Linked DNA regions of Caenorhabditis elegans. The protein of the gene in region 1 purifies or fractionates together with the protein of each later gene. This does not show direct contact. Each region holds a gene or a part of one and is shown on either strand. Other genes may lie near its edges.

The links.
Region 2: the proteins of gstk-2 (region 1) and rml-5 fractionate together in Caenorhabditis elegans (co-fractionation; one large-scale study listed by BioGRID). This does not show direct contact.

The regions. Positions count from the first base shown.
Region 1 is NC_003282.8:7,239,924-7,244,194, forward strand, and holds gstk-2 (Glutathione s-transferase kappa 2), read right to left. Parts: upstream 2,348-4,271; 5' UTR 2,333-2,347; coding exon 2,182-2,332; intron 1,583-2,181; coding exon 1,203-1,582; intron 734-1,202; coding exon 587-733; 3' UTR 522-586; downstream 1-521. UniProt on the Caenorhabditis elegans protein: Has roles in respiratory and lipid metabolism.
Region 2 is NC_003279.8:1,791,543-1,796,927, reverse strand, and holds rml-5 (NAD(P)-binding domain-containing protein), read right to left. Parts: upstream 3,675-5,385; 5' UTR 3,669-3,674; coding exon 3,564-3,668; intron 3,137-3,563; coding exon 2,960-3,136; intron 2,307-2,959; coding exon 1,821-2,306; intron 1,578-1,820; coding exon 1,475-1,577; intron 868-1,474; coding exon 587-867; 3' UTR 504-586; downstream 1-503.

The DNA.
Region 1 (4,271 bases):
ATTACCGGTACAGAGAGTGTAGATAGTTAGAGAGTGACAGACATCCGGGACCTAATGGGGCGGGGCGCGCGGAAGAGACGATTTGTGTCGATTTACGAAATAATGACAACGAGGAAAATTTCGTAAATCGACACAAATCGTCTCTTCCGCGCGCCCCGCCCCATTGGGTCCCGGATGTCTGTCACTCTCTAACTATCTACACTCTCTGTACCGGTAATATTATTTTTCGTTTCTTGAAATTTCTCTTTTACTTTTTATCAAACCTTTACGCTTTCCCTTATTTATATTCGGCTAATCATCAGAGGCCACGCAAAACTAACACATACTCAGATCTCTCACCCTTCGTCCCCCCAACCAACCCCAAGTTTTCGTTAGCTTATGCTCTTTCTTTTTTGCTCCGTTTTTTTTCTGTAATTGCCGCAACAAATTGAAACTCGTGTGAAATAGATTAGTAGTCTTTTTGTTTCCACATTTTTTCCATCGTTTTCTGTATTTCTCTTGCCAACACAAAAGAAAGAATTAATTTTAATCGTTATTCTTTCTCAGATAAAATTCTAGACACTTTTTAGAATGCTAATCTGACAATTTATGCGTTCGGCTTCTTCTCTCTCATTGGACCCTTGAATGGCTCGGCAAGAAAATCGGCCACCTGTGGAAGGCGATCCGATCCGAAAACTGTTTGAAGTACTTTTCCGTGACCATCAGTGATATGCATCCACGGAGCTCCGAAACACTGAAAAAAATTAATTTTAATTCCCAATTGAGAATATTATAAAACAGCAAAAAAACATTTTAAAACGACGCGCAAGCGCGCTCCGGGGCCAACTGAAAATGCTCCGCCCCTAAACCATGGGTCTCGTTAGGAATTTTGCGTTCGTCGTCTATTTTGTTATATTTTTCGTAGTTTTTGATGTTTTTTCGGTTGAAATAGATGAAATAAAATTATTATGATAAGTGAAAACGCCCTAAATTCACATAATTTTCTTAGACATCATTTCGATGTTGAAATCATTAAACACTTCGAAAAATATAACAGAAAGACTAATTCTAGAAAATTGTCGAGCCTAATCAAAAACGTTCAAGTTTAACGGAAAATACCTAACGAGACCCATCGTTAGGGGGCGGACCGTTTTAAATTGGTTGTGGAGCGTGTTTTCTCGTCGATTCCGTGTTTTTCTGGGTTCCTATAATAAATGACCTACTCCATTCCCGATGGCTTCATCTGTGTTTTCTCTTAAAATGTTCTTAACTTCTGCCGAATCACTCATCATCACCAACTCATCGACATCTTTTACATGCAAATCTCTCAAAACTTCGGCAACTTGACTTTTTGTGAAAATTGGTTTTCCGTATGCATAAAATCGATGCCAGAGTCCACGAGCAACGTCTTCCATCAAAACATTATCACGGAGTTGTGAAGCGACAAGAATACGTTGTGGAACGATTGAACTTGTGTTCAACATCATATTTGTGTAGTCCTTGGGAAGACGGAACGGAATTCCCCAATATTGGGCAGAGAAGAGCAAATCTTTGTGCATGTACTTTTCTTTGATAGGAATACGGAGTGGGAGACCGGGGTTTTCTGAAAACTTGCAGTTATATGATTTAGAAGGTACATATCAAACAACTTTCTGATGATTAGCACGATTCGAAAAAAATTTTCAAAACAATTATGTTATTTATCAATGCTCCTATACTTATAAAATTACCAAATATCACTTTTCCAAATGTCTCGAAATTGCTTTCAAATAGTCCTTTTAGGGACATTTGGCAACTTATCAAAACGTTCACTGATCATTTTGAAAAATCCTGAAATTTTTGGATTGTCTTATTATGTTAATATATGTCATGTTCAACTATTATAATGTTGAACTATTGTTGAACTATTTAAGTGTATTTATCTATTCTAGTGCCCTTCGTCAGATTAAAGCAGATTTTAAGAAGTAGAAGTAGCCGACCTTATGATATAAATAGATAGAGGTGCATTTTTTAGAAAATAATAACATACAGGCTTCTTAAGGTTTTGCATGTCCTTTTCCAGAAGTAAATTGAAAGCTTTTATTTTGACATTTCAAACGGAATTGTTAGAGGGTCATGGTTTAAAAACCTTACTTTAAAAAAGCTAATTCCATTTTTTTACGGATATTAGAGAAATTTCAAGACAAAAATACAAAAACTCACCAGTATGTCTGACAACACCAGCAAAAAAGAATGGTTTCATCTGAATTGGAGTCTTCCAAACGGAACGATGACGAGTGATTCCTTCGAATCCAAAGTAACTGTACGGAGAAATGACATCGAAGAAGAATTTGACCACTTTTCGGTTCGGCATTTTGAAACTTGAAGTCTGCAAAATTCATGAAAATTCAGCAATTATTTTAAAATTTTTCGACAAAAAAGCGAAAAAAAAACAGAAGCTTATGATTTTTCTAAACCTTAATGAGCTCCAGTACTAAAACAACTTGAACTACTTCGGGACGCTTTTAAGATTTCTGAAAATTCTTATTTTGTAGAAAAGTTTTTTTTAAAATAATTAGGCACGAAAAAAAAAAACAGCCGAATCACGTTGGCCAGACAATAATGATAGAGTTGAGAAGAAAGAAAAGATATTTGTGTAAACATCAAGGGAGGTACCAATGAGTTGATAGGAGCACAGACACGTGGTAGAGCAATTGGAGCATCAGCGGACAAAAAACAGAAAAAAAACAGTTGGTCTCAAGTCTAGTGAACAAAGTGTAGAATTGTTTGCAAATGACCACGATAAAAATAGATTTTGTTTGGAAAAAAACTTGGGTACTCTAAATATTTGATTTCTATTTTTCCTAACCGCACGTGATAACCAGATGTGCGATTTTTGAGCATTTAGTTGTTTTGGATAAAAGATATGAAAATATACAATGAACAATATTTTCAGGAAAGAAGTTTGGTTAAATGCTTTATGACTATTCCAAATACGCACAAAAATACCTGCCATTTCTTAATTGAACTTTTAACAAAACAATTTAAATGATAAAGGGAGATAAACGTAAATTTATCATGTGTGTACACCACCCAGCTCATTTTATGTTAGAATGTAGAATCGAGGGGCTAAGAAGGCACGCAGGCAGGCAGGTATATGACATACACGAACAAATGAGAAAAAATAAAATTGTAGCCAGTGTAAAAATGATCCGATCTTTTCACCGTTCAATAAAAACATAAAGGGCTGAAATAGAAACGGATGAAAACAACATTTTGTGTTTTTGAAATTCAGTTCTTAGAAGGAGATCACGTGACTCGAGGTGAGTGAAAAGAAATAAAGTGCAAACGGGTGAAAAAGAGGGAACAGAATTGTGTTGTTTGTTGGAGGTTAAATATGTACTTTGGGTTGTGGAATTGGGATTTCATAAAGTTCACGTTTCGGAGAAAAAAAAAAGAAAATGAAATAGAAAATAATCCGATTGGAATAATTTGTTCCGAAAATGTTCCGGCTTTTGGAAAAAACAACTGGAATATATTGTTTTTAAATTTAATTGGAAAACTTTTACATTTTATGATAAGTTTTCCAATTAAACTATATCTGAAAAGTTTAAAAAACAATAATGATGTGAAAACTAACAGTTCAGATCTAGAACTCATTTTTGTTTTCTTCTTATCGAATTCTCTGCCTTCCACTCGCAAATGTTTGCCACATTCTTGACTTTTGGTTCATAAAGAGTGCAAATTGTTTCAAAGTTTGAAGAAATAAATATTTTTAGTATCATTTATTTGGGTTTTGCATTAAGTTGATCTTACTGGCCCAACAAGGAAATTCAATTTAAAAAAATTGGCTATGAAATTTGAATCAACAATTGAGAAGTCCAAAAATAAGCAAAAATAAATAAGCAAAATTAAGTAAAAAAAAGTAAAAAAAAGGAATTTGTCATCGCGGTGATTCAAATTTAAATTTTTTACATGCCTTTTGTTATAAAAGTGTAAAGAAATAGAACAAATTGAAAGAATCTAGTTGAATGCTCGTATTGAAGTAAATAAATAAATAAATAAAATGCTCGTGACTGTTTCTCTTTCCGTGATATATACACCTTTAAAATAAGAGCGTAATAAGTATATTTTTTGAAGCCAAGGAAAAAAAGTTGAAAAAAGTGCCTACCAACTCAACCTTCAAAACTGAAAATTCACTGCCTGGTAGAAACAACACCAAACAACAAAATGATCGGTATCAATTCTCGTAGGTGTCTTATCAAAATCAACAATCAGAACAAAGAAACAGAAATAAATAAAAAATAAGAAGA
Region 2 (5,385 bases), on another chromosome or scaffold:
CCGATTTGCCGGAAATTGTCATTTTCGGCAATTTGCCGGGTTGTCGATTTGCCGGAAATTTTCATTTCCGGTAAATTGCCGGTTTGCCGATTTGGCAGAAATTTTCAATTCCGTTAATTTGCCGTAAATTTTCAATTCTGGTAATTTGCCAGAAATTTTAAATTACGGCAATTTGCCAGTTTTGCCGATTTGCCGGAAATTTCAAATTGCGGCTATTCACCGGTTTGCCGATTTGCCGGAAATTTTAAATTCCGGCAATCTGCCGGTTTGTCGATTTTCCGGAAATTTTCAATTCCGGCAAATTGCCGGTTTGCCGATTTGCTGAAAATTTTAAATTCCGGCAAATTGCTGGTTTGCCGATTTGCCGATTTTCCGGAAATTTTCAATTCTGGCAAATTGCGGGGTTGCCGATTTGCCAGAAATTTCCAATTTCGGCAAATTGCCGGTTTGCCGATTTGCCTGAAATTTTCAATTCCGGCATTTTGCCAATTTGCCAGTACAACACTAATTTCAAAATTTATTGATTGAAAAAATCGCAGAAAAAGGAATGCTTTAAGTTCAAAAATAATTTGCAAAAATTCAATAATTAAATATTATTATTAAGTCCTCCAGTCTTGCATGCCTTAATCGATTCCAGCACGTTTTTATCGATTTTCTGTCCAATTATGAGCGTTTTTTCGAAATATTCCAACATTTTCCCAGTGTATCCTTTAACGGCAAGAGCTGAAGACTCTTGGCTCATAGAAGTATTTCCAAAATGGGTGAAGTGTAGGGAGAACTTTTCGGCAATACTTGCGAGAAGCCATGGAAAATAGAGATTAGTCGCCATATTGGTACGGAGAGTGAAGCAGTCGCCTTCGAATGAGTCTGGAATTTGAAATAAAAAGCTTTTTTTTGGCCCAGAATTTTTTTCTCGGTGAAAAAATATTTTAGCGAAAAAAGCTTTGATTGAATTTTGAGACAAATTTTAAGTCCAAAAAAAATTTTTTTTTTGACATTTTTGAATTTTTTTAAAGCATAAATTGACATAAATTTCGACCAAAAAGATTCTTTCGTGGCCTAAAAACTTTTTGCGGCCACTGGCTTCCCTCATAAATTGAAATGGAAGAGTTTTTGCCGAACTAGGCCATTTTGGCTCGGCCATATCTGGGGTAGATTTACGGCGCGTTTCGTGTCGCGTCGCGGCTTGATTTTAGTTGTAAAACTAAATGTGTTTGTCCGTGTGGAGTATACGACTTTCCCACACGTTTTCCGGCGGGCGATTGTCAATGGAGCGCGAAAAATTCAATGAGAAAGGCCAGAACCCGTGATTCGTGAAATTGAATTTTGAGACAAATTTTAAGTCCAAAAAAAATTGTTTTTTGGCATTTTTGATTTTTTTAGCGTAAAAAGAAAAGCATTTCCGACCAAAAAATATAATTTCATGGCCTAAAAACTTTTTGCGGCCACTGTCTTCAGCCACCAAGTCACTTACCGGTTTCATTTCCGAAATAAACCAAATGGGATGGATTGATTGTGTTAATCTCATCGATAACCGATTTATCAGTGGCTTCTTGCAGATTTGTGATTGTGGATTCCTGGAAATTAGTTAAGTTTTGACTTTTTGAGAGTTTTAAAAATTTAGAAACGAATTTTAGACACTTTTTTTGAATTTCCCGCTTAGTTTTACCCCTGGAGCAGCAAATTGTCGTAAAGTATGGTGTTTTTTTTTTTGAGGCTACCGTAATACAAAAGACGTAATTTTTAGATATTTTCTGCAAATTGTCGTAAAGTATGGTGTTTTTTTGTGGCTACCGTAATACAAAAATTTGAGATCAAACCTTGGAAACCAGTCCCTCCAGCTTTAGCAGCTCCAAAAATTGAGTTTTCAGTTCCGAATTAGCTCCGAAAACTAAGAAAATTGGCTTAAAAACTTCTTCGATGGGTCCCTGTTCCTTTACAGAGCCAGACGGGCTCCAATTCGTTTCTTTCTGAATTTTTTCAGCTGAAGAAGCCGAAATATTGTAGACCTCCGCTGGTTTTTGGCTTTGTGCCAACTTTTCAATTGCCAATAATCCACGTGTCGCGTCAGAAATCGATAAATCATCGGATACCCTTCCGATGACCATTGGAATACGATAACTGACAGCATAGCTGTGAGCCATTGCTTCAACGGACATTTGAGCTGAGCCGATGAATGTGACCGGCTCTAGAGGTTGGGTCTCGACACGATTCTTCGCCCTACCGTACACCTCGTCACCACTAATGAGAACCAGAGATGGTGGGGATGCGGATTTACGGATTGCATCGAGGATTGACGTGATTCCCTGAAAAAAATATTGATTTTTTTTTAATTCTAGGGGTTTGTCAACTGAGCGCGCGTGCTTTTACGGAAATTTTTCAAAAAAATTTGAAATTTCTGAAAATTTCTGCAATTTCGTGAATTTTCTAAATTGTTCAAAGATTTTTGGAAATGTTGATTTATTTTTAAAATATTTTTTTGTATTTTTTTTAGAATTTTAGAAAAGATATAAATTTTTCAATTTTTCTCAACCTTTTTTTTAAAGAAACCTCTGGAATTTTCTGATTTTTTTTAAAGCATTCAACATTTTCTAGAAATTTCGGACTTTCAGGTGGTGTCAGAGTGTCTCATTTTGGCTTGATCTACGTAGATCTACAAAAAATGCGGGAGAAGAGACGCAGATGGTTTAGAACGTGCTGACGTCACATATTTTTGGGGGAAAAATCCCGCATTTATTGTAGATCAAACCGTGATGGGACAGCCTGACACCACGTGGACTTCTGGAATTTTTATTTTATTTTTCAAAAAAATATTCCAAATTTTCTGATAATTTCTGACTTCCCAGGAGTTTTCTGGATTTTTTTTTTAATTTCTGACTTTACGAAATTCGAAATTTCTCTATTTTCACGTGGAGTACACCCAATGTTTGCCAATAGAGCATGTTTACTAAAACCTTACCAGAATCAATTTCTTAGCTCCTTGAATTGGCTCCAAGAGCACATCAGTTGTGGTGAGAGATGCGTCGAAAATTGTTTGGATTTTGTAATTTTCGATTAGATTTTTGATTGCTTCCTCGTTGATTGATGATAAATTGATAAGTGTGAGCGATGGATTATTGATCAGATTTGTTGGAATCTGGAAGAGAAATTTGAAATAATTAGGCCATCATGAAATTTCTCGGCCACCTGAGAATTTCTAGGCCACTCTAGCATTTTCAATGGGAACCATTTTCGCTGTTCGGCAATTTCGGTAATTGCCGAAAATTCAAAAAACCGGCAATTGCCAAAATTGCCGATTGCTGAAAAATTTGAGAACCTGCAATCGCCAGAATTGCCGGAAATAAAAATTTCATACTTTTTGTAGATTTAGGAGCCTAAAAATGCAATTCCGGCAATTCCGGCAATTTGGACAAATTTGGGCAAATTTGCCGAAATTACCAATTGCCGGAATAGGAACGTTAAACTTTTAAGGCCATTACAAGGATTTCTCGGCCAGCTGGAAAATCCTATACTACTCGATAATTAAAAATTAATTTTCGAAAATTTTGTAGGCCACCACTTACCGCCTCATTATTGTGCAGAAGAACCACATTTCTTCCGTTTTTTAGCACCGCCTCCGCAAGTTGAGTAGATATTTTTGAAATCCCGCCGGTAATCAAAACGGTCATTTTTCACTGAAATTTCGAAGGTTTAACAAAAAATCTGCAACGCCTAGCAACGGAGTGTCGCTTCACGGGGTTCTGGCCTTCCTCATTAAATTTTTCCCGCTCCATTGACAATTGCCTGCCGGACTGGGAAAGTCGTGCACTCCACACGAACGAATACATTTAGTTTTACAACTGAAATCAAGCCGCGACGCGACACGCAACGCGCCGTAAATCTACCCCGGATATGGCCTGGCCTAGTTCGGCAAATTCTTCCATTTCAATTTATGAGGGAAGCCAGAACCGCGTGTCGCTTGTCAAAGAAATTTTTTAAAATTAATTTTTTAAAATGTGTTTTGGGAAAAAAATTTTTAAAAAAAGCAAATTATTTTTCAAAAAACCGTTTCCTCAATATGTTCAAAAACCAAATTAATTTTAAGATGAACATAAATTCTCCAAAACAAAAAAAAATAGAAAGTCGAGAATGAATACAGTTTCTGTATGACATATCGCGGTCAAGGACGGCAGCGCAGAGATCGCAACGAACAGATAGAAGTGAGAGAGTATTGGTAGATGAGAGCCGCAGAGAGACATGCGAATGAAATCGAGATAGATCCAGGACATTGATTGTATACTCTATCTGCGACAATAGAAGTTTTGCAGCCACGTAGCATGAAAAACCACAGCATTCAAGTTTCGCGCGCCAAAATTCTTTCAAAAAGTTCTGAAAATTCTGAAAAACTTAAACTTACAAGGGCCAAATAAAATATATTTTAACTAAGTTCCAGACTTCTAAATAAAACCTAATTCGTTTGAAAAAAAACCCCATTCTAAATAGGCCCCTGGTGCAAAAAAAATCAGTGGCAGAGTGTCCCATTTCGGTTTGATCTACGTAGATCTACAAAAAATGCGGGAGAAGAGACGCAGAGTTCTCAACTGATTTTGCATGGTTAAGAGTGACGTCACATTTTTTTGGGCAAAAAAATTCCCGCATTTTTTGTAGATCAAACCGTATTGACGGACTGAAACCAAGTGGGAGCACAGCTTTGAGCTGCAAAAAAGTCGCTCTGAAAAATTTTCAGTCTAGTCGCCACTCTAGTCGCCAGTTTGGTCTGAAAAATTATAATTCAATTTTTAGAAAATTCTAGAAGTTTCCAGATTTTTCTAAAAAAGTTGTTTTTTTTCTCAGAAAATTTGAATTTCAGCCAAAATTTTATCACAGAAGATTTTAATTCCCACCAAAAAATTTTCCCATTAAATTTGAATTTGAAAAAAAAAAACTAAATTTTTTCTTAAACTACAGTACTCCTACAGCACCCCCTACAGTACTACTACAGTACCCCGGCTATACCCCCTACTAACCTCAAACCAATATCTCTTCAAAAGACAAAAAGTCAATTTTTCCAAAACTACAGTAATCCTACAGTACTCATACAGTACCCCTACAGTACTACTACAGTACACTGACCATATCCCCATACTAACCCTATACCAGTATCAATTCATAATATTTTTTAATATATAAATAATGATCTTCGCGGCAAATTTTTTTTGACAATTTTTTATTCAAATTTTGGCCTAAAAAATGGGCGGAGCCTAACAAGAGAAACAAGTTTCCGGAGACGTTAATTTTTGGAAATTTCTTGATTTGGGCCATAATTTTCCAGATTTTTTTTAGTACTGATTCATAAAAAAGTAAAAAATTAGCTTTATTCAAAAAAAGAAAACTTTTTTTTTTCGA